Linked DNA regions of Lepisosteus oculatus. The protein of the gene in region 2 interacts with the protein of the main gene of each other region in a pairwise test. Links are inferred from orthologs where the notes say so. Each region holds a gene or a part of one and is shown on either strand. Other genes may lie near its edges. The genes, in order: pgap2, creb3l1, gpr25 and mfsd5.

The links.
Region 1: the proteins of creb3l1 (region 2) and pgap2 interact in binary tests that used the Homo sapiens proteins (3 or more experiments, as listed by UniProt). The two-hybrid records come from large-scale screens. The link is inferred for Lepisosteus oculatus from reciprocal best matches to the Homo sapiens genes CREB3L1 and PGAP2.
Region 3: the proteins of creb3l1 (region 2) and gpr25 interact in binary tests that used the Homo sapiens proteins (3 or more experiments, as listed by UniProt). The two-hybrid records come from large-scale screens. The link is inferred for Lepisosteus oculatus from reciprocal best matches to the Homo sapiens genes CREB3L1 and GPR25.
Region 4: the proteins of creb3l1 (region 2) and mfsd5 interact in binary tests that used the Homo sapiens proteins (3 or more experiments, as listed by UniProt). The two-hybrid records come from large-scale screens. The link is inferred for Lepisosteus oculatus from reciprocal best matches to the Homo sapiens genes CREB3L1 and SLC61A1.

The regions. Positions count from the first base shown.
Region 1 is NC_090700.1:12,973,233-12,981,231, forward strand, and holds the start of pgap2 (post-GPI attachment to proteins factor 2), read right to left. Parts: upstream 3,001-7,999; 5' UTR 2,742-3,000; coding exon 2,722-2,741; intron 191-2,721; coding exon 53-190; intron 1-52. Other genes in the region: nup98 (nuclear pore complex protein Nup98-Nup96), read left to right, coding at 4,591-4,666, 5,610-5,705, 6,697-6,744, 7,777-7,959.
Region 2 is NC_090716.1:4,505,989-4,513,466, reverse strand, and holds the start of creb3l1 (cyclic AMP-responsive element-binding protein 3-like protein 1), read right to left. Parts: upstream 3,018-7,478; 5' UTR 2,728-3,017; coding exon 2,626-2,727; intron 1-2,625.
Region 3 is NC_090700.1:30,700,604-30,707,500, forward strand, and holds gpr25 (probable G-protein coupled receptor 25), read right to left. Parts: upstream 2,630-6,897; 5' UTR 2,603-2,629; coding exon 1,472-2,602; 3' UTR 503-1,471; downstream 1-502. UniProt on the Homo sapiens protein: Orphan receptor.
Region 4 is NC_090696.1:18,952,144-18,960,115, forward strand, and holds the start of mfsd5 (molybdate-anion transporter), read right to left. Parts: upstream 3,017-7,972; 5' UTR 2,929-3,016; exon of another isoform or gene 2,886-2,928; intron 2,879-2,885; exon of another isoform or gene 2,534-2,878; intron 1,243-2,533; 5' UTR 967-1,242; coding exon 1-966. UniProt on the Homo sapiens protein: Mediates high-affinity intracellular uptake of the rare oligo-element molybdenum.

The DNA.
Region 1 (7,999 bases), on a different chromosome or scaffold from region 2:
CTCCATGTTATGGCCTATTCAGACGTTCCAGCCAGGGACTGGAGTTCTGTACCTTATCCGGCAGACAGGCTTGGGAGCCGAAAAAGTCTGGAGCAGAACACGGCCGCCACGGACGCGACAGACTAAGCGATCGCTGAATGAAGCATCATCATGGACACGCACTAGAACAGTGGCAAGTGCAGTTCTGTTTCTATTTGAAATTGCAAAAGAATCATTGAATGAACACTCAGAGAGAGAAAAAAAACAATTTAGGAAGAAAAAATATGTGGGTGAGTACTCTTCTCTAACAGCTGATCTGTTCCTGGCAAAGCTGGTAGATTTATAAAACCCGAGCGTAATAAAATCAATTGAGTTCGTGATGTTGCAGAATGCATGAAACGAAACCTCAGCGTGTCTGTGTGACTGTGACTATGTCCCCGGAAGAAGCAAAGCACTCACACAGGTGTCAGGCTCTTTAAAGAGACAGGCTCCCAAAAGCGGAACGAAATACTCCAACGTTTCTTAACGACGTACAGTACGAGTGCTTGTACTGTACTTCTTTCCCGTCAAAAAGCGAGATGTTGCAAACGTAGAACTAACTTCTACGCATATTGCAATTTATAATCTCCTTTTCCTTGAATTTTCGACCAAGCCATTTTCTGGCCTGCATTCAAAAAGCAAACTTTTTCTTTCGTTTACTGCATTTTGTTACATATTTCATTTAAAACATTAACAACACTTACAATTGGACATATTACTTACATTGCTTGACTCGTTTCTAGAACATGTAACATCCCAGGAGACACGACCTTTTATAAAATTCAGTTTCTAAGAATGTAGTTTTTGATCCACAAAATACAGATCATCTGTGTGCTCAGAAATTCCTATTTATGTTAAAGATATATATTGCAAGATTAAAAACTAACTAAAACGGTAAGAGAAGGAAGGTTTATACCCTTTCACATTTTAAAGAAAGAATATAGCATTATTTTATTAAAGAAATTAGAGTTAATATTGATCAAGGTGTTTCATCCAGCCCTCACAGACAAGAGTTTTTTTTTAATATGAACAGATTATTTTGGCTTTACTGTACTATTGGTTAATACATCTTTAGAAACAGGTGATCTGTAAGACCCAGGATAGAGACATGTTCTACAGAAAGTGGTTCCCATCCTAGGTCCTGAGAGACCAATGTCACTTCTTGGTTTTGCCCAATCCAAGTTCTTAATCACAGGCTAAATTGAGCATATTTTAAAATTTGCTTTCAGCTTTTAAAAGGTCAAATGGGATTTGTAATTGGCATTAACACGGTACCTCTGTGCCAAAGCTGTGTTGTATGAAATGTACTCAATTAATCCTCTGCTGAAGGAAAAATAAAAGCTCAATGTGAGTGTCTGCTACAGTGTCATTTTCATCTGTGTGTTTTATTAAAAATCAATCACATATTAACACATTGTAGAGAGGCTACTCCATGTTCTGTATGCTGGAGCCGTTGGAAACCCTATCCTTCTATATCTCCTGACTGAGTATTGAAATAGCCTGAAAGCCTGTGCTTGCAAGCAGAGCAGTTAAAGTCATCAATTAGTACTGAAGATGTGGAGCTTAGCTGGTAGGGAAGCCAGCAGACACAGTGGTGCCCCAGGGACAAGGTTTGGGAAGTTTGTTCTTCCACATTCCTGGGTCAATACAAAGGGGAAACTCCATTACTTATAGCTGGCAGCTATATCACTCTGCGAATCACAACTGGTAACCCACTAACGCTAAGCAGGTGTGAGCCTGGCCATTACCTGGCTAGAAGAGGTGTTACTGGGAACAGTAGGGAACACTCACCCTGCGGTCAGGGTGGGTCTTAATGCCCCAGTATGGTGACGGGGACACTATACTGTAAATAGGTTCCATCCTTCAGATGAGATGTAAAACCTTAATCATAATGACACTCCATAGTGCTAAAAAAACCCAGGGCATTTTTCAAAAAGATTAAGGGGTATAACCCCATTGATCTAGTTAAATTTGCCTCTGGCCTTTAACCAGACACGGTCTCATAAGAATCCCCATTTATGAATTGACCTCATTACTCAGTTCTCTTCCCCCCTGATAGCTGATGTGTGGTGAGCATACTGGTGCACTTTGGCTGCTGTTGCATCATCTAGGTGGGGGCTACACATTGGTAGTGGTGGAGGAGGGAGTCCCCATTACCTGTAAAGCACTTTGAGTGAAGTGTCCAGAAAATGAAAGATACTGAAAGTGGAACTATTGTGTAACTAGTGTAAGTGGGGATTATTATAACTTGCGACTCGTAACATACCTCCAGAAAGCCCACATTTATTTAAAGTTGGTGAGAAAATTAAATTTGGGTCTGATTGTCACTCTACTTTTGGAACTTGCTTTACTTTTTGGAATAATTTCCAAATATGGTAAATCCAACCACCATAATGCAAGTACACATTAAAAAATACATTTATCATACAGCTGTAGATAAGGGGAGACTGGTGCTGCCAAGACAGACCCGTGAAAACTGCAGGACTGTAGCCCCCCAGGACCTCAGCGAGGCACAATAGTGTTAGGACATGGGGAACACATGACCAGGGAGCTACAGTATGTTTTTCATAGGATATGGGATCAAAAAAAACTGAAGACCGTTATATAAATCTGGAACAAAGTTACAACCCCGCAATTGATCCTATAAAACGGTAGCATCGATCGAAGACTACAATAAGACAACTTGCCTCTACTTTTACCCACCCGAATGAAATACAGCGCATTCATCCACCAAGTGAATCACGACTGCGAATGACTCACTATTCAAAAACGGTCGTGACTAGAGGAAGCGACGAATTCCACTCGAGCTGCACAGCAACACATGATCACGTACGGCCGTCCAGACCCGAACAGATTTAACATAAGCGGCCGGTCGCTGCCAACAGCCAATAAACTGGGACTTCGCTCCTAAGGCCTCCGAATGGAGGCGGGACACCAATTCAAACTCTACCCAGTCGCGAAAGTGCAATAGATTTACAAGCTGATGGGCGACAGTGTTGTCCAATAATATTTCAGATCCATCTGCAGTAGACGTCAGAAAGAGGTCGACATATTACGTACTGACGTAGTTTGCGTACTGCTTGGCCTTTCAAAGGTAAATTACGCAGTTTCTCTCTTCCTTGGGCGATATTGAAAAAAATATATATCGATATTGGACACTGTGGATAGTGAGCTACATAAATATCATCTTGTATTCGGACCGCTTTTGCTGGAAGAACACCTGAGGAAGATATTGAGTGGGCTTCTGAATAATACGGTAAGAAATATCGCTACTTTGTAATATTTGGTTAATTTGCACGTTTCTCTGTGGTTGGCCTTTTTAATTTGCATAAACGTGGCAGCTTCAGTTGTTAATCCTGAAGTACAATGAGAAAATATATTCCAGGGGAATATTGTAATTGCCAACGTACTTAAATGCGTGTCTGCGAAGCTTGTCTGCCTGCAAGCATATGCGACCAAGTTTGTGTTGGCTTAGCACTTTTATGTCGCAAGTGTGCATTTTATAATAATTCACATTCTTTGCTTCAGTTTCAGGTAGCAAGTGATCGGGGCACATTTTAATAAATCAAAAGAAACACCAAATACTGTAACATTGCTTGGTATCTCCTTCCAGCGTTCTCGTTTGTTTAGATAGCGATTTCATTTTTTTTTAAAAAACCGGTTTGTTCTGGTTCCTTCCAGCACGATCGGTCGAAACGCACCTAAAATGTTTGTTTTGGTATGCTTTAAGGAAGTAACCTAGGATCTTCGAAACCCCAATTCGTGCCCTGAATTGAGGCTTGTATGTGGTTGCCGCTGAAACCTTGTGCTTTAGGCCTCGACCATCGGTTCTGGCGCCTCTTCAGCGTCTTCCTGTAAACAAATCCAGCTTTAACGCGCAGAATAACCCACCATAGAAACGACTTCAAACTCCCGGAGTGATTTGTTGACAGTGTTAATTTTGCACGGTGGCTAAGAACGGTTCGCAAAATGTAGTGTTTGCCGATTCACCCGCTGTGTAATGAACTCGAATGCCGCTACATACACTTCAACAGCTCCGATCCAAGTCAACGTTTTTTTTTTTCAATCGTTCTCCTGCAGTGTTTCAGTCTTGGCTCCCGTTTGAACGTGTTTGTGCTTCCTGAAGTCTCAAAAAGGGTGTTTAGCCATTGACGTTTTCACTATTTTACTCTTTGGGGGAAAAATACGTTGTGGAAGTTCTGGGTTTTTTTTTTTGCTACCTCGATACATTTTGTTCTGTGCCGGTGCTGACTTCCAAACGAGCACTGGTAAGTTGTACTAAGGGAATGAAACGAAAACATATTTATTAGCAGTTGCCATTTCGACGCTATAAATGTGAGACTTTGTAGTTGTCTTGACGGGTTCATGAGCGAAATAAGGCTACCTCGGTATGGGTTTATGTAAAGTCGTGGAATATAAACAGTAAGAATGCCTCGACAGTTGAGATGAATATTCCATGCATTTGTCAGTTTTTTTTTATGTGACTCATACGTTAACAAAATGTGCCGAAGGTTTCTAACAGTATTTTGAATTGTTCTTCACAGACGTATGCAGTCCTGATAGGAACCGAATATGTTCAACAAAGCGTTTGGAACTCCTTTTGGAGGAGGAACTGGTGGCTTTGGAACTTCCTCCACGTTTGGACAGAGTAAGTTGCTACTTTTGCGCTGTTATTGCAGTTATAAATTCATTATTGTACTTCCATTTCATACTGGAAACATAGAACAGATTACATACTACTGTTAAGATGCTGCGCATTGACAAGTCATGGAGGGTGGTGGTGCATATAAGAAGCAAGGACAGTGAAAATAAAAGTGCTTAATGTCCATTTTAGCTTAAGGTGGAGCCTGTAAATGGATACAGGTAGGTTTGGTTTGTGGAATGTATCTCTTATCTCCTTGTCAACTTGTGTTGACATTGTTTTCAGAATCACTATTTTACAGCTTGCCTTACCGTGTATTTGTGTCTTTGTAGCTGATATCAGGCATGGAACAATGCTGGTGTTTGTGTACTATACTTTGATTTACACCTATTGGAAAGCAGTCAATCCTCAAAGATAAAGGAAAATGGTCAAACATGTCATGATATGGAGTTTTTGTTAGAAGAATCCTGTCCCGCATGTGATATAAAAACTAGAATTCCACAATAGTTTAATGTTAATGACACCAAATACACATATTCTAAAAGAAGAATGTATCTAATGCAATTAGACAAGGTCAAGCCAGATAGAGGCACCTAGAACACAGTTAAGTACACTTTATTGGAGTATCCCACTACAGTTTGTGCAAAAGACAAATGCAGTGAAAACAAGCTTGCCAGCTCTCTGCCAATGAGGGTGTGACTTTATAATGTTTATTGTATTGCCACTACTCTTTGTAAGTCCTCATCCCAAAGAAGTCTTCATGAAGTCCCAAGGTCCCCAGAATGAGCCCTGGCCACCCTGGCAGATGTAGCTTCTACTATCGGTCCCCCACTGCTGCCAGGTTGGAGCGAAGGCAGATGGTGGTTAATCTATGCACTGCCGAAAGACAGCTGTTGTCATTCGAAGTGTCTGAAAAACAAAATGGTCGCAATTTCAACTTCTTTTGCAGATTCTGGGTTTGGATCTACAGGTGGGTTTGGGACTTCAGCTTTTGGGTCCACTAATAACACTGGAGGACTATTTGGGAACACCCAGAATAAACCAGGTTTGCACCTTAAATTTCCCATTGTCATTTTGTCTTAGGTTTATTTTGCAACCAGTCCTGGTTTTACACGTTGTCCATGGATATGTTTGCTTTGAGATGTGAAAGTTTTACAAGTCAACAAAATTCATTCTTATCAACATCAAATGCAGAATCCTTATTGCTTAAAGTACGTTATAAACAAAGAGATTTCCAAACTGTGAAAATATGTAACAGGATTTGCAATGATAGTGTTAAAGTGCTATACTTGTTTTGGTAGTTAATATAACTCATTGACCAATATAACTTGCATCAGTTGGCACAGAATACATTTTTTCTACACTCTTATACCATAATATTGGGATACTTATTATTTTCAGTAAGACTATTGGATATAGTGTCACGATCAAGTGATACCTCTTTATGACTTCATACTATATTTTTATAGTTAAACATAATACTACATGAAGATGTGATTGGTTACGTTATTTGGAGGGTTTCATATAATTGCAAAAGAATATGGGAGAAGTTATTTTTTTCAGTTACGCAATTATGTATGGTTAGGTACACTAAAATGGCATCTATCAAATAACCTGAATTTCTGTCTGTAATACTGGAAGGTAAGTAAGGACTTGTAGACCCGACTTTGGTCCTGCTGTCAGTGATGGGAACAACTTGGCAGACATTGCATTCAATGTACCGGTACAGCATGCTGGATGGAGAAAGTGATTTAGTTATGTAAAGCTAAACTTAAAACTGTTTGTAGGGGTTAGCATTCCTAGTAATATACTGGAACTCAAATCTGCATGATCACACTACTTATTTTCAGAAGAAAAGAAGCCTCAATTAAAATAATCACATTCATATCCAAGTTTTAGACAAATAAGACTGAAAGAAAGATTCACAAATCTTGCGGAGATAATACAAGGTGGTCCTTTCCCAAGCTACGTTTTCAATGTGTGGTGTAGATCCCCGTGAATGTTTTTAACTACACTGTACTTTACTTTCTCAAAAGTGGCAACAGCAAATCCCCAACAAATCTACACTGGTGCTGGTAGAGGAGGTAAGCATCGTTTAAAGTTTTGAAAAAATGTACAGATAGGAGAAATCAATTGGATGTATATAGTGCGTTGGGTAGTGTGATCATGTAGCCATGTTATGTGTAAAGGCACTATCAGGGGAGAAGTCCATTGGCGTTCAGTCTGTCAGCTCAAAACACTATTATATGAGAATTATGTTCTCTTGATGATTTTTTTAAGATATACTCAACACAGTCTTTGACAATTGTTCATGCCTGTTTTTCTTAAATCCACAAGCTCTTTATTTCATGTGTAGTAAATATTCTGTCATCCATTTTCTAGCTGCTTTATCCAAGTGTCGCAGGGGAATCTGAGCCTATTTTAGTAAATATGTTTTAGCGTATTCTGTATACCATATGAAACACAACCAAAAACCTATCACAAGTATATGACCTACACATATAGGGCACCATTGATATTGCCCAATTTTAAAACCTAAGTATTTAATTTGCCTTGTTTTCTTATTTGTGCTTTTCCCCATTATTGTATGGAAAGTTTGGTGGTGTATCCCTTGGAAATCTGTATTCTGCTCTGAAATGCTCATGTGCCATTAAAATCTGTCCCTCTTCCACTCTTGGGGACACATGCTTTTTCTGATTGTCCACACGTAAAATGATTTATACGTAACCCATAAGGACAAAACATGCACACTGTCCGTGACTTTATCATTAAGTTCCCTGGAAAGGTTTCCAGAGAGTGTGTGCACTTCAAAGGGGGAAGTGGATTACCAGAGGAAAGTGAATGTGAAATGATGCCTGTTGGTATTTCTGATTTTTCAGGCAAAATTCCCCTTCAGTAGATTTTGTCTGTTAAATCTGAGGTCTTGTAAAGCAAAGTTTGTTTAACGTAGGGATTGCTGTAGTGATATTAATGGAGTAAATCCCTGCAATACTAAGTTTTTTTTTCCCGGTAGAAGTCAGCCATTGAGGCTTGGTGTTGGCTTTCACTTTTCTAAACATTTTCTGTATTTCTTTCTCACTTGTTTCCCCTTCATAAAACAAAAATGTAAATTAAAGGTGGACTCTTTGGCTCAAGTACGTTTAGCCAGCCTGTGACGTCCTCCACTAGCACTGGGTTTGGGTTTGGTGCTGCCAGTGGTACCTCCAGCAGTCTATTTGGAAGCACCAACACAGGAGGAGGAGGACTGTTCTCCCAGCAAAACAATGCATTCGGCGCGACCAAGCCAGCTGCTTTTGGCAGTGAGTTTCCATTTTCTTGTGTGAAAGATTTGTCTTGGTT
Region 2 (7,478 bases):
TGGAATAAAACCCTCGGAAATATGTGTTGAGAAAAGCCACTTTTTGACCACTTCCTTTGAGGGTCAGATCAGATCATTGCCACATTTGTTAAAACAGATTCTAAAGAGTCTTAGATGTTGTAAGACAAACTAGCACTCGACTGGTTTCATGTACTCTGTTTAATAACAAACTGGGAATCCCACATAGAGCAGTGCAGCCTTGAAAGAGAACAAGATTGATGTATCTCCCTTGTCCATGATGAGCTTTTAAACCTGAGCCGATGCAAGAGTTGAGGTTTTGCAAAAGCAGTCAGTTTTACCTTCAGTGCGCCTCATTTACCCATGCACCTCATACCTCTCAGACAGCAGAAACAGGGGGTACACAAGTAACAACAGAAAAAGATGAAGAGGTGAACTAACCTCCCGAGTGTCACGTAAGGAATAAGGCATATTTTATTACAGTTGAAGCTTGCAGTTTCTTTTCCTTTCCATTAGGGATTATTTTATCCTAGCCGGCCACAATGTTACATGTCAATACTAAACGGAACTGAAAAAAGAGGTCATTGAAAAACATGGAAGAAAATGGAAATAAAATGAAATGAGTATCTAAACACAGGAAACACAGGATGATTTAATCTCCCCACAAAAAAAGGCCTGAAAAGCATTGTATTTACTCTTTGTTTTTGCGTTGACAGTGGCAGCTGGATTTCACCTTTGCAACTTGATGCTTTTCCTATTAATGCACAAAAGAGTCCTTTCACTGGGTCAGTCCTCACCACTTGGCTTTCCTTAATAGGGGCTTGAGTGGAGAGGCAGTGACTGCAGGAGCAAAGACCTATTGGACACACAGGCCTCATTCAGCCCCCACACAGCACTGAGGCAGCAGTCAGAAACAGACCCTGCCCAATTAACCTAAACATACAGGTCCTCCCTCAGTAGTCTGTCAGTGCACACAGGATAAAAAGGCCATTGAAGCCCAGCTAACAAGAGCCCTTTATTGTTGAAGTGTGAAAAGATGTCTGCATCCACAGTCTATTGTAACTACTGTATGTGGGAGCCCTGACAGGCCTTCAGTGCCGATTTCAAGTTTCAAGAGTTAGGGAGATGTGACTTAATCCCCACCTCATTCACACTACGAGAATATGCAGGGATGTCTGGCTGTACTGCACAACCTGAAGATGAGTGTGCATCATGCAGAGAACTGTGATAATCAACACTATTCCACATACTGTATACTGTACCCTTCCTAATCAATCTAGATGTCCAAGAAAAGCCAACTCATTCTTCCATGAAGATGACGTTACAGATACAGTTTATACAGCTTTTCCCCTTCAGTTTTTTTTACAGAACCCATGAGTCATACTGCATAAGATAAGAAACATTGTTACTGGATGGGCGCCAATTTATTCATTAAGATTAAAATGAAACATCTTGTCCGGGCCAAGTCCGGCGGTTTTGATTCGCCACAGTTCCTACAAAGCCGATATTAAAAAAAAAAAAGATCAGAAATGAAGGGTACATACGCCTGGTCGACCACTTTAAACACGCAGACAACGAGTTACCTCTGCGTGCTGTCAGAGCTACACATTTTCATTTTTCCGCAAACGTCTGGTGAAGTATGTTAACGCATGTGAACACGCCACATGAAAAACACTGGACAAACGTCATCTCCATCGCAGCACAGCGGTGCTTGCGGTCTTTACTTAAGGTGCTAGAGAGGGATTCCACGCTGGTGTCTAATCAAGCAACACACACACACAAAAAAAAGATTCAGTTTTGTCTTGCATCCGACAACGAATTTAAACCGTGGCAGCCTCGCAAGCCCATCTGTTCACTTTCCGATCTCCTGCACGTTCAAGACGCTCACAAACGCAACACTCAGCCAGATAGCACTGCGCAACCTACGGCAAAACGCGTTTTTCGAATTCGCCCTGCAGCTTCAGTCGAAGAGGTCGATAAACAACCACCACCAGGATGTGCGAGCTAACCAGGATAGGGATGTCTAGGGAGGAGAAGAGCCGGGGTGGGCGTGAGAAAGAGCCCGGGCCACGCCTCCTCGCGGGGGCAGAGCTCCGAGAACAGACTCGGCGTTTAGAGCACAGCTGGGGCAGCTCCGCTGGCCCGAAAACAGCTGCTTCGCGGCGGAAACCGTGTTTACTTTCTTCGCGGAAAACCAGTCCTCAAGTGGCCGCCGCCGAGTGTTAACAAATGAAACAGTTTGCTGTCCACGCTGACAAGTAAACGCTAAAAGATCTCGCTTGCGCGAATTGGGTTGCCCGTGGGTTCCGGTGCGTCGAGTTACGATGCAACCCTGAACAATCATTACAAAAAGTTCCACACAACATTTAAGGGTTTTGTTTTTGGGAAAAATACATTTGCCATTTTCTGATGTGGGATATTTTAGAGCGTTGCAGAAGCGTTTGGTATATGCTCCCACAGGGTTAGGAAGACACATTTATTAACAGTGGCCACAGGGTTAGAAAGGAGACGCGTTATAACAGTGATGCGGTAGTGTATGCATCTTCTGAAACTAGGTTTGAATATTTTGCATTAACAGTGGTTCAGAGGCTATTAGAAAACATAAGTGTGCCTTGTCAAGGATCTAAAATAACGAAAATGAGTAATGTAAGTCAATCGTTTACGTACCACGTTACTGAGGAAGTCGGCTTCATTCAGATCTTCTAAATCCAAGAGATTGGAGTTAGGGAAAAGTTTCTCGGAGGTGAAGTTGTCTAGGATGGTGTCCATTTTAACAACGGAGGTTTCGATATTAGTTGAGGGAGAAAGAGATCAGAATAAATGGATGCAAACTTTTCAAAATCTAAGTTGTTGGCTAAAGATACGGAGATGTAAGAAGTTGCGTTGTCTCCCTAACTCGAGCTGAGTTGTAGAACTGAAGTGAAATAATGCCGTTTGCAAATGAACTGTTTGCAGTTCTCAATTGAATTCGCTCTTTTTCTTCTAAAAAAATGCTGGGTTAAAACCCTGTATGCTAGAGAACGAGTTCTATATGGGTTCTGTCAAATGTGTTTCATCCAGCTGGGGACTGTCTCTAAGGAGTCCATCAGATGATTAATATTCATTTAAACTCCGCCTAGTTTCTCCTGCCTTTTTTCTTTCGTCTTTCCAAAATCCCACCCGTTGTCTCTTAAAGCCACAGTGGTACATTAGCCCTTTTCAAATGAGCTCTTTATAAAATAGCCCAGCCCCGGCTCCTAAAATTGCATTTTTTTTTACGGGATGGAACCTTTTAACCTTTAACAAGCTTTAACCACTTTTGTTGTGCGGCACCAAATACCGACCGACAGCGCTGCTCCGTTCTGAACGGGGGTGCAGGACCGTGTCGAGACCGGCCAGGGTGCGCTGTGTATCAGCTGGGCTCGGGGAAGAGGAGGGCTCTCCAGCGCACGGATCAAAACCGTGTGTGTTTCGCTCGATTCAGGATCTCCTTTGGAGCCAACAGATCCCATCCGTCGACAAGAAGCTAGGGATGCGAAGCGTCTTCTTCGAGAGAAAATAAATGCAGCCACATATTGTACCTGAAAAGGTTTCGAATCGACTCCTTTACGTTTGCATGTTCGTTTATAAAACGTTTATACAGTATATATGTGTGTGTGTGTCCACATGGAGAACTGCATTTTCTGCTGCGCTGCAGATACCGTGAACGACACCTTATCCCCATGATAGCATTTGACTGTAGCAGGGACGGCCGACCGAATTCTTCTAGTGCCTAGTGTCTTCTGGTTTGGGGGGGATCAATTTAATTGAGCAGTCAATTAAATAAACAGTTATCCTAATTATTTTTTAATTAGACACAAAGGGTTTTTAATATGGTCTTTTACAGCTGATTAATGAGACAATGAAACACACTTCAGTAAAAGTAAAGCTGGACATAAAACATTTCCAATCCTTGCCAGAGGTATTAACAGTTATACTGTGAAGGAAATAATTCCACCAGCTTTGTAACTGAGATCTCAAATGGAACATACATTCAGGAGACACTCTGCTTTGATTTGAAATACTTTTGATTTAAAACAAAGGGTCTGAAGACCATCCAGGCCTCAAGGGCTGGTTTTCCCTTAATTGAATTCCCTTCATTATTCACTTAATTGACCAATAAACTACAAGTGTTCCTAACCTTCAAGAAATGGTTGGTTTGGGGTGACTCTCTGGCATTCATCCACTGGCCGCTTCTGTGAATTCAGGGTGGTGGGGGGCCAGAGCCAATTGGAGCTCCTTGGTAGACAGATCACACGTTAATGGTACCAGGCATACCAGAAGTGTCCGAGTCCTCATCCCGGCCCTGGAGGATCGCCGTGTGTCCGGGCTTTCTAGGGCTCTTTCAGGAGCAGCTCCTGAAGACTCTGAGAGAAGATGTTAACCTGGGCCGATTAAGCCAATAATGAGCTGATTTCGGTCATTAATGAGATGGGCTGCAGTGAACACCCCACCCAGCCCTCCAGGAAGGGAGCTGAACACTTGTGGTGACATCATCCATCTGTATCCTTTCTCTTTTAATCCTACAAGTGCAATGTGCTTTATTCCTTCCCTGTTGATGCAGGAGGCACTTTGATTTATTATAATAATAATAATTGCTTACACTTATATAGTGCTTTTCTGGAGACTCCACTTAAAGCGCTTCACAGGTAATGGGGACTCCCCTCCACCACCACCAATGTGCAGCCCCACCTGGATGATGCGACGGCAGCCATAGTGCGCCAGAGCGCTCCCCACACACCAGCTATCAGTGGGGAGGAGAGCAGAGCGATGAAGCCAGTTCATAGATTTCTGGATCTTGGTGTTCAAATGGCATTAATAGGCTAAAATATGTAACGGTGGTCACTGTTAGAGGTGTAAACGAGAACTCGCTTCTCATTTGTTTGTTTTTTTGCGTATTTTGCATCATCTTATTTTGTTGCGCTCTGCAACAAGCTGATCCACATTTAGACTGCGGTGTTATCTATCTCCTAAAAATAGAAATATGGGAAAAGAGCTACACCGAGACAGCTGCTCAAACCCGTATCTTCCGTGTTCTCCATTAATCATGTTTTAGAAGTGCTTATTCGCCCAGTTCAATTCGAAAGCTTTTCATGTGTAGAAGAACTGCGACGTCACTCGGAGAAGAGAAGCAGCTGTGCATGCCTGGACGAGATCGGGGTTTAATGATCAGAATGCGCGCTGCAGCTCAGTTTCTCTGATGTGCTCTGTGAAACTTGATTAGAGGCGCGCTAACAAATAACTGAAGTAAGACGTCTGAGACTTCTGCTGCTTGGCGCATCTGCCACCCGCGAACGCTAAATTAACATACATGCGGCGAGCCGTGTGGGCGCAGAAAACAAAACTGCGCAAACGAATAATTAGACTCAGCCTTTCACACAAACGTCGCAGGAGGTTGTCCTCCCTCCGCAACAACAAATATTTATTTACTTTCTCCGAAGGTTGCTTAAACAACAGCAGGGTTGCAGGGGGAATGTTTTTATATGCTACAAAGGGGTTGAAATAAACGTTTTATTGCACAGCCGAAATGAAAATCAGCCAGAAGAACATTCATTTTAGAAAATATTTTTTTAAATGTTTATTTTGTGAACGAAATAAGTTACGTATTCGTCGTGTCCTGTCCATTTTTGCTTTGGAAATTTTAGTCTAGTCTCCTTGAGATGGTTTATTTACTTCTTGAACTTTATATAGGGGATCTACTTGATATTTTCTTGGTATAGCGGGATTCATTTAGCTTTAGAACTTTATTTTTTAATCAAAGGCCTGAGTAAAGCCCTTGTTTCAGGAGTGCCTTTGGGAAGGTAACACTGCTTGCGAATCCCTGTTAAACATTACACAGCTTCATTACTGACTCCCTTGATGACTCTTGTCATTTTGCACATTTGGACTTTTCTAACACAAAGCGTGATACAAAAGGCCGGTCTTTAAAATGAGAAACAAAAGTGAAAGCCAAGTAAAATCTCCTTGGAATCACTATGACATCTTCCCAAAGTTTAAACCGTAAATATTTCAAGCTCTTGAGACAGTAAGCGCCGCCTTCTACATCTCCTGAAAAAAGCCTTTAAAACTAATACCGCACAGGAGAGGTTGTATAAAATGTCCAGTTAACAAGTTCGAACTCGCGAAACCCTGTGTCACTTTCTCTCTGAGGCATTTACGGAGATCAGGAATGTCGCCCTCTGGAACTTTCCAGTGGATACCTTCACGTGTCTGAAAATGTCTTCTTACGATTAACAATAGGTGTGCAAGGTTTATTTTTTCTAGTGAGTGGTCCTTAATGGCACCTCTTGGGGCCCTCTATCGGCGGGCTGCATTTCAGGTCGCCATTCCATAAAGGAAATTTGTGACTGGGAGTGTTTAAGGGCCGAGGTCTCTTCTTCTTCTTACTTCTGTTACTTCACAGATAAAGGAGCATTGTGCCGAGCCTAACTTTCAACTAGCCCCCATTTCTTCTCAATTAATACATGATCGTCTTCTTTCATTTCTGCATCTTCTCCGTGCAATATTGTGTTGAGACTTCGATGCCATTCTCTGGAAGTTCCTATCTTTAAAAATGAAGGGAGGCCATAGATGCTGCGTGTAGCGGTGCGACCACAAAGCATACAGTATATATTGTAATTCATTCATTTGTCACACAGTTATTATTGGGATCATCGCTATTTGATCCTATGTGATCTGTTGATCTACTTTGCAAGCAATTTATGTTTAGAAAATGAAATACATTTGCAAGTTTTGTTCAGTACAGCCTTGTAATCACCCCCCCCTTCCCCCCAAAAAGAACGTTTTTTAAGTTTTTGGCTGACAGCATTGAGAGTCCTTTTCAAACAAAGTGGAACTATGGTAAAAAAGTACGCGTACTTTATAACATAGGGTGATTGTTCCTAATTCCTAAAATACTCTTCAAAACTAAAGTATCTGGAAAGTCTGTCATATGCTATGAAGTCACTATTTGTGAATGCAGACAGAAACAAGCAATGCCGTGATTAGCCCCACAAGGCTCAAATTCCTCGGTAGGGGACCAATGGGGAAAATACTGGAAACGTGACCAGACATGACATCACATGGTCATTTAGACTTTTTAAGGAGTTTTTTTTGCTCCACTTTCTGTCCGTTCAACCAATGTTTATCATCAAAAGAAGTACAAAAAATGTTAGCGTTAATGTTTTAACAGCACACATTTAATTGTGTGTTACTTTCAGCGGCTATCTCCCCAGTTACTGTAATTAGAATATACTGTATACTGATTCCCTTTTTCAACTGGCTATTAAATACTTTGAGACTAAATAAACCAGAATAAATAACACAGATTACACTAAAAGTAAAGACCTCACCTCCACACAAGACTGTTGCTTGACTGTAATTTTACTGTGTGATGGCCCACAGTCAACTGTTCTAATAAGATCTATGCAGAATATTAGGTTGTGCTCCAATGTTGCTCAGGCACTGAAAGCTCTGCTTGAGGTACCAGTTGAGGGTTCAAACCAGGGTTATGAAATTTGTTA
Region 3 (6,897 bases), on a different chromosome or scaffold from region 2:
GTAAAACATTTTTTGAAAGAGCTTATATTACAATGACAGTCTAGAAGTAAATGTCCAATGTTTACAAAAGTTTTAGATCTTTTTTTGTAACGAGATTTCAAATTTCACATTTTGTAAATGTGTTAAACAATATAATACAAAGAGCGATCAGTTTTATTGCGAAGATCAACTAATGCCACGAATAAACATAACGATAATATAACGAAGTACCAGTTGAACTGAACAGAAGTTACTAAAATATTTCAATCTTAATGCGTAGTTATAACCTAGAAGGTGAATATAAAAATGTTTCAATATGTTGCAATAAAATGTACGTCATTTTTAGCTCCTTTAAGTCATCCGCACTAACTGTAAAAAAAAGTCCGAGACTCCAGCACAATTCTTCTCAATCTCGCACCTACAGTAAAACCACTCATGCAGCACGTTTAAAATTGTAATTTGTTTTTAAATATTTTTCCGTTTTTTCCACAATTAAAAAGGTTTCTCCAATATTTTCAGTCCATTTCATATTTAGAAAAGCGTCTACTGATCTTTATTTCGTATACACATTTTATACATACTGTATAAGCCACTACTTATTATTTGTGTTAAAACGGAAAGAACAGTAAAAACGTACCCAGTGAACTAATACATTCTATAGCGAAAGCATTTTCAAAACACGAGCATGATCTCACTTCTTCAGTCAAAAAAGCTGAGGGCTTTTGAAGTTCTCAGCCTCTGAAGCGAAACTGACAGCGGTTAACACTTCTTATTGCATCTGCATGTGAAGAGCAGCCCGAACTGAGGTCTCCTTTCATGGCAGAAAATAATTTCATGTAGGCTGCGACAGTAAGATGATATCGCTGAAACGTTCGTCTATTAGCCTATTTCCCTCTTGCACTGTGCGTATATGTTCCCATAATTGATTGTGCAAAACAAATAAGTAATGATATTGATACAAAATTGCATTTTTTATGCAAAATGGCATTGAAACAAAAGTGAATTCGGAGAAAGTTGTACAGCTCACTGGAAAGCGACTTTAACAAGTTCTCTGCTGTTACGATAACTGGTGTGGTGCAGAGTGGCGAGCGCTGAAAATCAGAACCTTTCGTTTTTTCATTGTCATACCCAGGGCTTTCCTGTTTTCATACAACATATTAAAACGAGGTGGCGTTTTAGACAAATGTAAACATTCCCAATTAATCAGGTTTATGACCTACGAAGTAATCACGAGTAATCTCTCAACATGATGCCGAATGATATAAAAATACTAAAAAGTTCCTCACAATCCACAGACGCAGTTTTAAGCGTGCAGAATTTGTTTTTTAATTGCCTGACAAGATCGGTTTTTATCTTGTCAATGTTCTGACACTGGGGAGAAAAAAGCTGGGAAACTGAACCCCAAATACCAGGACACCCCAAATCCGAACTCTGCAAACCTCGCGAACCGCTGCCACCTCTTACTGCAACGCCGTCTCCGAGAGTAGGTCCTTCACTGCAAGTGAACTGAAGACATGCGGCAGCGAGGGTAACTGGACACCGAGTAACTGTCAATGGTGAGCCCGGAAGAGGACGCGGCTGGAGCTCCACTCCGCCGCTTGATCTGTGGGCCGAACCAGCCGAGACAGAAGCGCAGAGCGCGATGCCTGAAGTGGTGGTCCAGGAAGATGTAAATGGCGGGGTTAGCGCAGCTGTTTAGGAAGGCAAAGCAAGAGGACAGGGTCAGGCCCCTCGCCAGGGTCGTTTGAGAGGCGCAGGACAGCGACGCGAACTGGAGCTGGCAGGCGATGAGGATGGTTTTGAAGACGTTGAACGGCAGCCAGGAGACGACGAAGGCCACGATGATGACCAGCACAATCTTGAGCGAGTGTCTGCGGCGCTGTTCGGTTTTGGGGTTTTGAAGGCCGGGTGGGTTACGCAGCTTCACCAGAATGGAACAGTAGCAGGCAACTATTATCACCACTGGGAGCACGAAGGCAAGGAAGAGGGCGACAAGGCTGATCCCGTTGAAAACAGCTGAGTCGGCGATTTCGGTGCACAAACGGGCCGCGCCATTTTCCTCCACCCTCCGGTAGATAAGAGAGGGCACTCCTAGCGCGATGGACGCCAACCAGATGACGCAACAGGTCAAGCGTACGCATTGGTTGCTGCGAAGGTATCTGGAGTCCAGCATCCGCACGACGGCCAAGTACCTGTCCACGCTCATGCAGGTGAGGAAAAAAATGTTGGAGAAGCGGTTCACGGCGATGACGTAGCTGCTAAACTTGCAGAGGAAATCGCCGAAGTCCCATTGGTTTTCCTTCGCCGCCGAAATCCCCCAGAACGGTAAAGTGCACACGAAGACCAAGTCCGCCACGGCCAGGTTAATGACAAAGGTGTCCACCAGCCTCCTGTTCTTGTGCTTGGAGGCCATGATGACGATGACGCACAGATTCCCAATGAAGCCAGTGAAGAAGATGAGAAAGTAGAGGGTAGGTATAATGACGGACTGCCAGGGCAAGGATTTCTGGGGACAATCCAATAACTCATGCCAGTCAGGATACAGGTATGTGTAGTTCTCGCTTCCGTTGAAGTCATCTTCAGAGTACTCGTAGTCCGTCGTGTCCATGGTATTCGCCGCCATGTCGCGCAGTGTGGGGACCCTGGTGAGCGCACTGTGCGGTACTGATAGCACTGCAGGGCGTTTAATATGCCAAGTGGTTGGGTCACGTGCGCGCACACACGACGTTTTTTTATCTTTGCCAGCCAGTTTCACTTTTGTTGTTTGTGTCACACCGAGGTAGACAAAACTGCAAAAGTTTTAACTGAATAGAAATGAATGTCCCAGGAATTATACTGGACTAGAAAACAAAACAAACAAATGTTATGGGAGAGTGGTTTAGTGGTGAAAATTAAGAGCACATAATAATAATAATAATAATAATAATAATAATAATAATAATAATAATAATAATAATCAACAAGGATTGTTTCTGCGTTTTTAGGTTTTAAATATCCGACTTCAAACGTACTTTCGAACAACTTCAGTGTACAAAACGGTAAGCAATCTGGCTAAATAGGCATTACATAAAAGGTGATTCACTGTCCATTGTAGGGGTGTTTCATATACTGTGCAGCTGTCCATGGGCTTGCATTTTGGGTAACGCACTTAAATGACGGGAGTTCTGGACGTCTGGGACTGGCAGGGGGCTAAAAAAGATGTCTGATACATTCCAGTCAACATTTATAGACCAGAAAGTGAATTTGAGCATTAAAACCAGTTAAATTAAACCCGAAAGAGACAGTGGGGCAAACCGCCACCGGACCAAACGAGAGCGCCCAGAATAAAAGAAGAACGTGAGAGCCGGTGTTTACAGTGCAGGGTAAAAACTGCAAGATTAACAGCCGCTCAGAGCACCGTCACTCTGTCATGTGTAGAATAAACTGAGACTCTGTTAACTAAAGAATCGTTTACGAGGGTCCCGAGACACATTTTCTCGTGTGTCAAACACGGTTTTTTTAAATCGTACTTGAACTTTGTGAAGCTGAACTAAACAAAACAGATTTTTTTTAAGATGACTGATTTCCAAGGCGCTATAGAAAATATAATGACTAAATAAAAAAAAAAAGTTTTACGTCTCGTAACAAAAATAAACGGATATTGATTAGACGAAAGCCATTGACATACAATTGTTTTGGAGATAAAAAAAAACCTGTGCAGGCACCTCTAACCGTGAGGATGAAATTATAGTTTGTATAGTTTTTCTATAGTAGTTTGTGACTCGACTTTGCGCCTGGGCTCTTGCAGTAACTTCAAACAATGTTAATCCCACAAACGGAACTCAAGTTGCTCCGTCTCAACATGACAGTTTTTACCAGCATATTTTCATTATTAAAAAAGACACAGCGCAGCAACAGGAATCCAAAGCCTAATTTTTTAACTCGCCTCAAGCAAACTAATTATAATTTTGCGGTTTCACGCATTGAGTTGTCTTATCAAAAATGAGTGGATTCCAAGAAGACTTTTTCCACGCGAGAACATTTCTCACAAAGGTAAGGTTAACTTCAACTGAGTTAAATAGCTCATAATTAGCACAATTAAGAAGGATTTTCGAATGTTTTTTTAAATAATATTAAATCTTCTTTAATTTCGAACGGCTTCTCTCGTTTCGGGATTAGTTTATATGGTTAAACAGTATTTTTCAGAAATCAGTAATAGGTTTATTCCACGCTGAAAAGAGAAGAAAGAAATCACAACGTTTCGGGTGTGACACCCGAAAAGGGCTCCACAGCCTAAATGTTGTGTTTTTTCTTCTCTTTTCAGCAGGGAATAAACCTTTACTTGTTCCTTTGTAGCCTACGCATGCTGACGCAGCCGCCCACCTGAACTTTTTCAGAAATCTATTGTTTTAATTTTTCGGTAATATGTTTATTTCGCTTATTGAGCACAATTTGTGGTCGGATGTTCATTTTTGTTAATTTGAATTTTATGATGGAAATGCATTTTCAACACAATTAAATAATAGAGATTATTTTAAGCGTTTAAGGACATCGCGGTCGAAAGTGGAGAAAAAATTATGCATCGTTGAAATATGTAGTTTTACTGTGTATAGTTTAAAAATATCTAAAGGTTTTTAGAATGCTTTGAACATGTGCGGTGTTGAAAGAAAATGACAGAAAAAATTGTTTTTATGTTGTACCAATGTTAAATTATTAAAAAATATTTCGGGACGCTTCTAACAAAAGTCTTTGTAATCTGGTGATGAAGTGTTTTGCAGAGAGCATGTTTAAAATACTTTTTTAAACTTTTAAATATCTGTATTTAGAGTTTCCAGTGCCAGTCATGAATGTCCCCAGAGTAAAAATACACGTAGAAAATCAAAATACTTTATTTCAAGTGCCTGAACAAGGGGAAACACAATTGACGCTCTCGTGTTGCTGGTAGTCGGGAAATTAAAATTAATGTTAGTGTTTAATACCACGGTCTTTCAGAGTTAGAATCAAAGTGTAGTCAGTCTCAGCTGATCTTTTTAATGGTTTCAGTGTTCGTCTCCTTTCGTGGTCGACTTCGTGGTTTTAACATTTTAAATCCCGAAAACCACTGGCAAGAAAACAGCTAGCTGAAAAGGTCTTGCTCCGATTTTTGAGATTGTGTTCATTGCATAAGTCTGCCTCAAAAATGAAGCAGTAGAACAATAATGATTTAAATAACCCTTTCCCCCTCAGAAGGTGGTTATTGTTGACAGGACTAATATTTAACGTTTTAGTGCTATTTTACTCGGCAAATTGAAAAATGCCGTGTTTAATGATGTGATTATTTTTAAAGCAAAATTGTTCTTCATAAACACAAGATAATTTCAATGTCGTTCACTGACATTGAACGACAGCGCTTTCATAAATGATGGAGGGCAATTTAACCAGTTATTCTTTACAGAGGCTGTGAGTGTAGAAGTTGAACTAACATAAATAAACCACATTTACGATTTCCCGAAAACAACCATAAAAATGAAATATTTCACAACCTGATCTCAAAGTCTTGTGAGTCTTACAGAAATTAGATTTATTAATATATATATTACTTTTAATTAAAGAGAGGAGCAATGTCCTTTAATTAATAATTTAAATAATGGGTCCATTACCATTTTGTCCAAAGTGACTTAATAGAGACTTGGAAGTGAGCTGTGAATTTACTATCAGGTGTTTTAAAATCTCTGATACAGGATGTCCCTGACCAGGAATACTGTAAGAGCCTTTCTGTTAATAGTCAGGCATACAGAGCATAAACAGGTCAGGATACTGCACTGTGAATCAGTGGAATGGCTTCAAAACCATCTAACATAACTATCAACCTGCTAGCAATCACACTTCTGATATTTGCTTATTATTGGTAACTACAGAATTTAGTTATGGCACGCTCTTATAACCATCAGAAAAGATTTTGACAGAGTGAACAAAAATGATATTTGAGTATGTAGCATAGTTATATTAAGAAGTTATTACGTACTGGTCTTGGCAGTATATTTTAAGCAGTCAAATAAAATTGATTTTATTGATTCAATGCCGATAGCAAGCTCGTTCTCCAAGTGTTAGTTGTAATTAGATTATTTCTCCCCATTTTCTGACAGTGAGCAAGTTCAAAGCTGCAACCATATAGGCAAACAAGAAGGCAGAGCAGAAAATGCACAATCTACAGCCAGGGCTTTGGGTTTGGAATCGGTCCTGCAGAAACGTAACTTGTAACGTATCTGTGACATGTCACTTGTGCTATTAAGATAAAGATAAGATAACTTTTTTGGCCATATACAATTTCTTGCATTAGGAAATTGTCTTTTCGCATACCCCAACTTGCTCTCCATGAGACACACAGACAGAGAGAAGCTTGGGGTCAGAGCACAGGGTCTGCCATTGTACAGCACTCCTAGAGCAGTTGGGGTTAAGGGCCTTGTTCAGGAGCCCAACGGCCACAGGATTTGAACGGCAACCTTTCAGCCACAGACACAGATCCTTAGCCACAGTGCCACCGCTCTGACGATTTCATTTAACCTGGGTGCTGCGAGGTTAAGGGAAGCTCACGGAAGAGAAGCTAATTAATTTGTTTTTCTATACCCACTTTTTCCATTTTGAGAAATCAGTTGCATTCAGTTTTACAGCGGAGCAAGAAAGGTTTGAAAGCCTCTTTGTGGGGCCCTATGAAAAATATTGCACCTGTCCTTCTGAAACCTTCTGAAACCTTGACATGCTAAATCTGCACAATCGTTACATTCTCCCATGCCTATACCTTGCTTTGTATCGCTTCGCCACAGCCTGGCACATTCGGCCTGGTGCCTCACCACCTAAGGCTGTGCATTTTTAACTATTACCATGATCTCACTATTCTTTTCTGTACCTTACCAAGCCCTTAACTTTACCACGGCAGATGTTTATAAGGCAGCACACAGA
Region 4 (7,972 bases), on a different chromosome or scaffold from region 2:
GGCGGCCATGAAGCAGGAGAAGACGATGCCCAGGGGGGGGCCGTGGGGGTCCAGGACGGGCGTCCAGAGGAAGACGAAGATGTAGAGCACGCTCTCGAAGGCCGCCTGCACCCCGCCCAGCAGCAGCACGCGCCGGTCCGCCAGCAGGCAGCGCAGCCCCTCCAGGCAGCCCCGCCAGAACCGGGCCCGGCCAGGCAGGGGAAGCGGAGGTGGAGGAGGAGAGAGGGAGGAGGTCGGGGGCTGCAGAGAGCCCGCCAGCGCCCCCCGGCCCTCGCCCCCCTCCGCCTCCTCCCTGCCCCACTCGTGCAGCACCACCCAGCCGCACAGGCCCAGAGCGGGCACGGCCGCCAGGAAGGGCGCCACCGGCCCCCAGCCCAGCCACTCCGCCAGCAGGTTGGCCACCAGGCCCGCCGCCACCGCCAGGCCGTGGTTCCAGGTGGCGGCCCGGGAGAAGGTGGCGGGGATCCACTCGCGGGGGAAGTCGTGGGCCTCGAGGTGGCGCTGGACGTACCAGGCCTCAAAAGCCGTGGCCAGCAGGGAGGTGGAGAGCCCCCCCAGGACGCGGCCCAGGATCAGTACAAAGTAGTCGCGCGACAGCTTGGTGAGGCAGCAGGCCGCGTAGGCCGCGCAGAACAGCAGGCAGGTGCGGCGGCGGCCCAGCGCCAGGGGGAGCCAGCTGGCCACCGGCGCGAACAGGATGCAGGAGGCCAGCCCGAACACGTACAGGATGGCGATCTGCGACTCCAGGAAGTTGTAGTGGCGGTACAGCTTGTAGAGGTAGGGCCCCTGCAGCCAGTCGGCCCAGAGCGCCAGCAGGTAGCCGCGCAGGAAGAGCGTCTGAAAGCTGCGGAAGACGGGGTTGGCGGCGTGGGCGGCCTGGCGGGGCTGGGCGCGGCAGGCGCTGAGCTCCAGGCCCAGGCAGAGGGCCAGCAGCACCAGGAATGACAGGTAGGCGGTGACCAGCATGGTGCCTCACCGCGGGTCCAGGCCAGACTGCCCTCTCCTCTCCAGCCCAGACTGCCCTCTCCTCTCCAGCCCAGGCTGCCCTCTCCTCTCCAGCCCAGGCTGCCCTCTCCTCTCCAGCCCCGATCCCTCAGACCCTTCAGCAGCAGAGTCTCCTGTCACTCACTCCCAGAGAACTGCTTTCTCGCTCTCAGAGTCTCCGAGCCTCTGGGACAGTTTGGGGTATCTGCTCCGCTGGGCAGTGTGTCTGAGCCTCTGGGACAGTTTGGGGTAGCAGCCCTGTGAGGAGAGAGAAAGATCAGCACAGTAGTACCCACAGAGGGAAGCTCTGGACACTCTCCTTAAATAGGCCCCACACAAGGAATAGGGGGTCCATCTGTGGGACACAGCGCAGGGGACAGAAGCACTGGATGGCCACAGCTGTGCAGGCGAGAGCTGGCCGGACCCACAGGACAGCCACTGTCCTGTTTCCGGGGCAGATTCACAAACTGGGGCTGGAGGGACCAGGATAACAAGTGTATAGTCGCAGACTGGAGCAGGTGCTGGTTGACGCAGACATGGGAATAAACTTTGATTTGGAAGGAAAACTGCACCTGAGTTGCGATTAACCCTGGTTTGATCACTTGTGAGCTGGAGGCAGGTGGCTGAGAGAGCCCGCTGGCGCCGGGCAGAGCGAGGGCTGGTAGCTCTTGCCCCGTGGGCAGTTACTACGGGCAGAGCTCTTCAGGAGTCACCCTACTGGGCAACAGCAGTTCCAGAGTCCAGTTTTCCTTGTGCTGCAGCACCAACACTTTCACTTAAGAAAACGAGCTACGTTTCCCAGAAGCACAAGACAGATAATGACCAGTTTCCCACCGGTCTGCCTTTAAGCAGCAGTCTTTTAAATTATTTTTAACAACCACTGCACCACTGTGACAAACTTTTAATTATTTCTGATTTTTAGATTTCAAGCACGACTCGTGTCACAGTTGTTCCAGAGGTCACTGCGACAGCCTGGACCACGACAGGACGGGCAGGACGACTTCCCCCCGAGAGGTGGTCAGGAAGGTGGGTCAGCGCCTGGACAGTTAACACACCAAGCGACCAGGATGTTGCAAAGCTGCACGGGCCGCGGGCTCTCCTGCTCGCCTACGCGGTGTTTCCGCTTCCTCGGTACGGCTCCACGTACACCCTACCTGAGCAAGCGAACACTCCGTTGCTTTGACTTTTTTAAACATTTGTATTAAATGTATAAAGAATTTACAAATACAAATACAACTAGAGGAGCGGAAACTCCATTGCTTTGACTACTTATATTAGCGCCACTACTAACCACGTCACAGGACCCCGCAAAAAAAAAAAGTTTTAAAACTATTTCTGAGACTTACATTGTCTAACATCAATCAAATATGTCCTTATCCTTCCTCACCTGCAGAAATGCGATACGTTTGTTAGAATAAAATCAAAACCTTTAACATCCGCTAAGTTATAAAACGATTTAGATTAGTCTCAGCGGAACATGCAATGTGTATATGAACAATGATAAACACGTTGCCATGACTAAATCATAAAACACGTTTGTTTAACTTACCTTCCCTGACCAGCGCTGAGCGCTTTTCAGTGTCAAAAACGTATGATATGATTTTTCGCAGTTAAAATTACTTGTATGTTCAATACAGCCCCGACGTGTTGCTTATTCCTCTTTACAATAATGTAAATACTAACAGAAACGGTGTCCGCATGTAAGACTTGTATTTGCAGGGAAGCTAACCCTGATAAGAAACTGAGGATTTTTATAGTTATACATTTGTTTTCAGCCTAAATAATAGAAACTGCTCGTCAAAGGGACACCCTCCTGTCCGTTTTTTGAGATGGGAATCTCATGTTAAGCCTTGTGTTGGTTTATATCAGGCTCAAGCTTTGAGTTCTATGGAGGAGCATACCTGAAGAAGATTTTCCTCTATGTTTAAAAAGACAAATACTAACGTCAAACGCCTTTCTCCTTGCGTCGCTCCCGAATCAGTCACTTCTCTTCCGCAGGTCTCTACGCCCCGCCCCTCCCTGAAGCCACTGCGGCCAGAACTCGTCATGTGACCCGAGTGCCTTGCAGACTGTGGGACCTCTTACAATAATCGATCTGTGGCAACCTGTCCGTTATTACTCCTGCACTGTTTCATCTGATCTGAATATTAAAATGTATTTGCAGAGCATACGCTCGTATCCAGTGCCATCGAATCCCAGCGATTTACAGCGCCTTATTTACGTTAAACGTAGTTCGTTTGTCAACTGTAGCAATTACTCTGCCTGAACTGATGACCTGGAATCTGATATCTTGAGGGAATATTGTCTTCGTCAGCTCAATGGATCTTCAGTGAAGCACCAACCAGAGGCCACACGTGCTTTTAAGACTGAGCACAGTAGAGGCGTCTTTACACTAAAGGGTGTGGGTGTGTGGAACAAGTGAAGCTCATACGAGGTTGAAAACCGGTACATGCGTTCTCCCGCGTTCTTACATGAAACTGATGGAAAAGATCCAATACCTGACAAACAAGTCAAGACGGGCCAGTCGGTCCCCTCTCGTTTCTTTTTAACTTCCCTATGTTCCTATTCGTTTCCATAAATTTTCGGGGGTACAGGCTTAGTTGGGATAGAAGGTGAGGATTATTTTTTTAGGTAAGGATGAAGGCCAGGGTTAATATTATGAACATTAGAATGCAAGAGCAGTTACAAGGAGATGATCTCCTCCAGCCGTTTCTTGAAAAAAGCCAGGGTATCTGCCTCATGAATCTGACTGGGTAGCTTGTTCCACACCCCCTCAACCCTCTCCGTAAAGAAAATGTCTCCTGCTCTCGGTTTTAAATGCATTATATGTTAACCTTCGGCCTTGAGAGGGGTTAGGGTACAGTGTTATAGAACGGTTTCGCCGGGGATGTTATGATGTTATGGTTACCCAGGAGTAGCTGGGTAAGGAGTTCAGGCTGAGCTACGGGCAGGCTCAGTGTTCACAGGTAGTAGGACGGGGGTTAAGTTTTGAGTTGCTATTGGAGGCGAAGGGGATAATCGTCACATCAGCGGTTTCGTTGTTCTAGATTTATCGCAACGTCGCCAAACGGTCTTATCCCGCGAAACCGTCCTTTGGCGCTTCAAGGGTAGGGAGGCAGTGCGCTTAATCACCACTAGATGTCGCCCACACACAGGTCTTCATCCAGGCACCCATTTCCTAAACGTTTCTTCCAAGTCAGGGTCGCGGGGCAGCTGGAGCCTATCCGAGCAACGGGTGCACGGCAGGGCACACCTTGGACGGGACACCAGTCCATCACAGTGCATAGAGGCTTTCCCGTTCTGAAAAGATTTTCTATTGCCTGCAGAACCTGAAGTAACGCTAGTTGACACTGAAGCAAAGCGCACGAGTTGTTCGTCTATTCAGTAAAACAATGAAGAACTATTTTGCGTATTTAAGCTCATGTTAGTCTTGCAAGGAAGTAATATTGCTATGTTTTCTCAAAGGCAAATTGTGAGTTAGAGAAAATGACTTCTTCTGCCAAAAGCCCTAAAATAGTAACCCAGCTGAATTACAGTGAAATGGTTGTAAATATGTCATTTTCAGTGCCTAATGTGTTCTTACAGAAATGAAACGTTTGTTCTTCTTCACACAAGGGTTGTAAGGAGCTACAACAGCTGCCCAGCTGTGCTGTCGCTGCAAAACCCCAAAGTTACAAAGGCATGTGCTCTGTATCTGACTGTGTTCCCCTTTAATTACAAACAGGACCTATAACCTATTACCAGTAGAGGTCAAATCTACAGAATGTAGTTCAGGTTTGCAGCTGCGTCAGCATGCGTAGGCTGCAAAGGAACAAGTAATAGGTTGATTCCATGCTGAAAAAAAGAAGACAGAAAACACAACGTTTCGGCCGTGGAGCCTTCTTCAGGTGTGGCTCCACGGCTCCACGTGACACCTGAAGAAGGCCCCACGGCCGAAACGTTGTGTTTTCTTTCTTCTTTTTTCAGCATGGAATCAACCTATTACTTGTTCCTTTGAAATCTACAGAATGTCTCGCTTGAACCTCGGATATATCTGACAGACTCTACCGAAATTTCTAGATGTTATAATTCCCTTTATACTTATATCCCTTCAAATTATGGTACCAATTAACACACCTAGGGTTTGGGTGAAATAGTTTTTTCTGTGGTGAAGAATCCAGACACGTAGCCAGACCTCCACAGCGCTGGCGCCTCGGAAAACTGCAACGCCCCCTATTGCCAGCAGAGGGCGATCTAACCACCGCCATTTTGCCTATATATGAGGGATTCGGTTGCTTGTACCGCAGATCTGCTGTTTTTTACGCGTGCCTTCGGGTTAGTCCACACGTGAAAAAAAAAAACTCACCCTCTTTGACGGCCAGAGTATGCAATGTAAACCCAGCAGTCAGCCAGCAGTCATATCACCCTGCAACTCACAACTGGCGACCCACTGCAGTTCTGCAGGTGTGAGCCTTGTCAGTACCTGGATGGGAGACCTCCTGGGAAAAACAAAGGGCGCTCACCCTGCGGTCTGTGTGGGTCCTAATGCCCCAGTATAGTGACGGGGACACTATACTGTAAACAGGCGCCGTCCTTCGGATGAGATGTAAAACCGAGGTCCTGACTCTCTGTGGTCATTAAAAATCCCAGGGCGTTTCTCGAAAAGAGTAGGGGTGTAACCCCAGTGTCCTGGCCACATTTCCCATTGCCCCTACCAATCATGGCCTCCTAATAATCCCCCTCTATGAACTGGCTACATCACTCTGCTCTCCTCCCCACTGAGAGCTGGTGTGTGGTGAGCGTTCTGGCGCACTATGGCTGCCGTCGCATCATCCAGATGGGGCTGCACACTGGTGGTGGTGGAGGGGATCCCTATTACCTGTAAAGCGCTTTGAGTGGAGTGTCCAGAATAGCGCTATATAAGTGTAAGCAATTATTATTATTATTATTATTATTATTATTATTATTACTACCTAATTGGAGTGGTTAGGGGGGTGTCATTTTAATAAGAGGTGCAGACGGTCGGGCATCCCTTGAGGTTCCCCGAGCACACGGAGCGGGCCAGTGATTCGCGGTTCTCCGCGCTGTGTCTCCCAGGACTCCAGAGCTGGGCCCACTGGTGCACACGGGCCTGTCCGGGGCTTCCCTGTCCTTATTTTCTCCATCCCATGCACCTGGAAATATACTCACCTGTTCCCATCCAACTCACCCACCGAACCGCGGTTCTCTCCCCTCCTCACCCCACATCCCACTGGATCACCCCAGGGAAACACACTGACCAAAGCCGCCGGCCAAACACACCCCTCGGTGCTGGGGCTCCAGCAGCAGGAGACGTCTGCACGGGGATGTCGAATCCCTGTTCCAGCGCCCCTGCTGGAAGAGCAGAGAAGGAGGGAGACCGGGCCACGGGTATTTCACGGGCTTGGAGAGTCCCAGCACCGCACTGAGGTCCCGTGTCTGTGCGGGGGGAGACAGTATATTGGCCGGTGTTTGTGTCTTATACGTGACACCACCCCCTGCGAGGCACTTCTGCTGGCACGATGGGGAATCTTTTCCTTCCAAGTCGCACCACAATCTCTCCATTGATTTTTGAGTGCGAGTGCGTGGGAGAGGAACTTTTACTCCGGTCCACGGCGTTTTTATTTTCAGTGTGGGGCGGGCGGTGACTGTGCAGGCGTTGACAGTCGGAACCCTGAAGGGGTCCTGTTCCCTTTGTCACCGGGCGCAGAAGGCAAAACACCGCCCGTAAAATCCCGTTTTGTTTTTGTTTGTTTGTTTGTTTGTTTGTTTGTTTGTTTTTTTGCGACGCTATCTTGCCGGCTCTCACCCGCCTCTGCGAGGGCGCTGAGTGACAGCGCCGCCGCTGCCGGGGTCTTCATCAGAGCCGGGGATGTCGCGCAGGGAGTCCACACTAGCCTTTGCAGTCCGTCTCCGTCTCGGTCTCCGAGCTGGACCGCTGTTCCCACTGAGCGGGCCCCCCTGTGGAACAAGCCGAGCTCACCCGGGCAGCTGCTGCCCCGGCGGCGGGGGGGACTGAACTGTTAATACCGGCTTAATTCGGAGACGCCGAGGTCCCCGTGCCAGGGTCAAATCTCACACGGGCGAGAATTTCAGAGCTGCTGCTGTGGCTCCCCGCATCGCCTGTGCGTGTGCAGCACGTGAGAGCGAAGGCTTATCGCCGCTAATAGAACGAATTAGGACCCTCCTCCAGTTCATAAATTCACAGCCTCTGTTCTCCCTGGGACGGTACGTACAGCTGTTTCCGAGGGATGAATCATCTGTAGATGCGACCTGCCCTTCCCTAGACGGGCGCCTCCAGGTCAGTTCTTTGCACGAAGTCATGAATCTTCCTGGCAGTCTCTGAAGAAGGAGCCAGAGCCAACGTATTTCATCATGTTTCTGCTGCAGATATACACACATCCCAACTTTGAAAAACTGATTTCGGGGGGGTGGAGGTACCCCTTGAAAAAAATCAGGGAGTCAGGGAGGAGAGGCTGATTTCTGGGAGACCTGGGATGTCTGGATATGCCGCCTGTAAAAGGTCAGCACATGAGCAACGATGGAACAGCTTTACCAGAATTCTTACCTCAATGTTGAAAATGAGCCTAGGAAAAATGTCATTTTCAGGGGGAACATACTGTATAAGTGCATCTTGTGTTAAACTTGGACCCCTACCTAGATCATCAGGGAGAAGTGCAAAGGGGTGCCAAGTCTCACTCGAGAGCCAGGGTGCAGGAGCCACCTCTACGCAAAGGGTTGTTGGAGTCTGGAACAGGTCGCACACAGCTATGGTGCCCAAGCTTCTCTGGTGAAATGGCTGGATGAGGGCATCTGAACCAACAAGCTGCTAGGCAGCGAAATTCTCAATGGGCAGAATGGCCCTCTGCTGTTTGTAGCTAATGCTATCAGCTTCCTGGGGTTCAGATGGGCGCCGAACCCCAGTGAAAAAAACTCTCCCTACTGGGCAGACTTCACACACGAAGGAATCTGAAGACTGGGAGGAACCCAG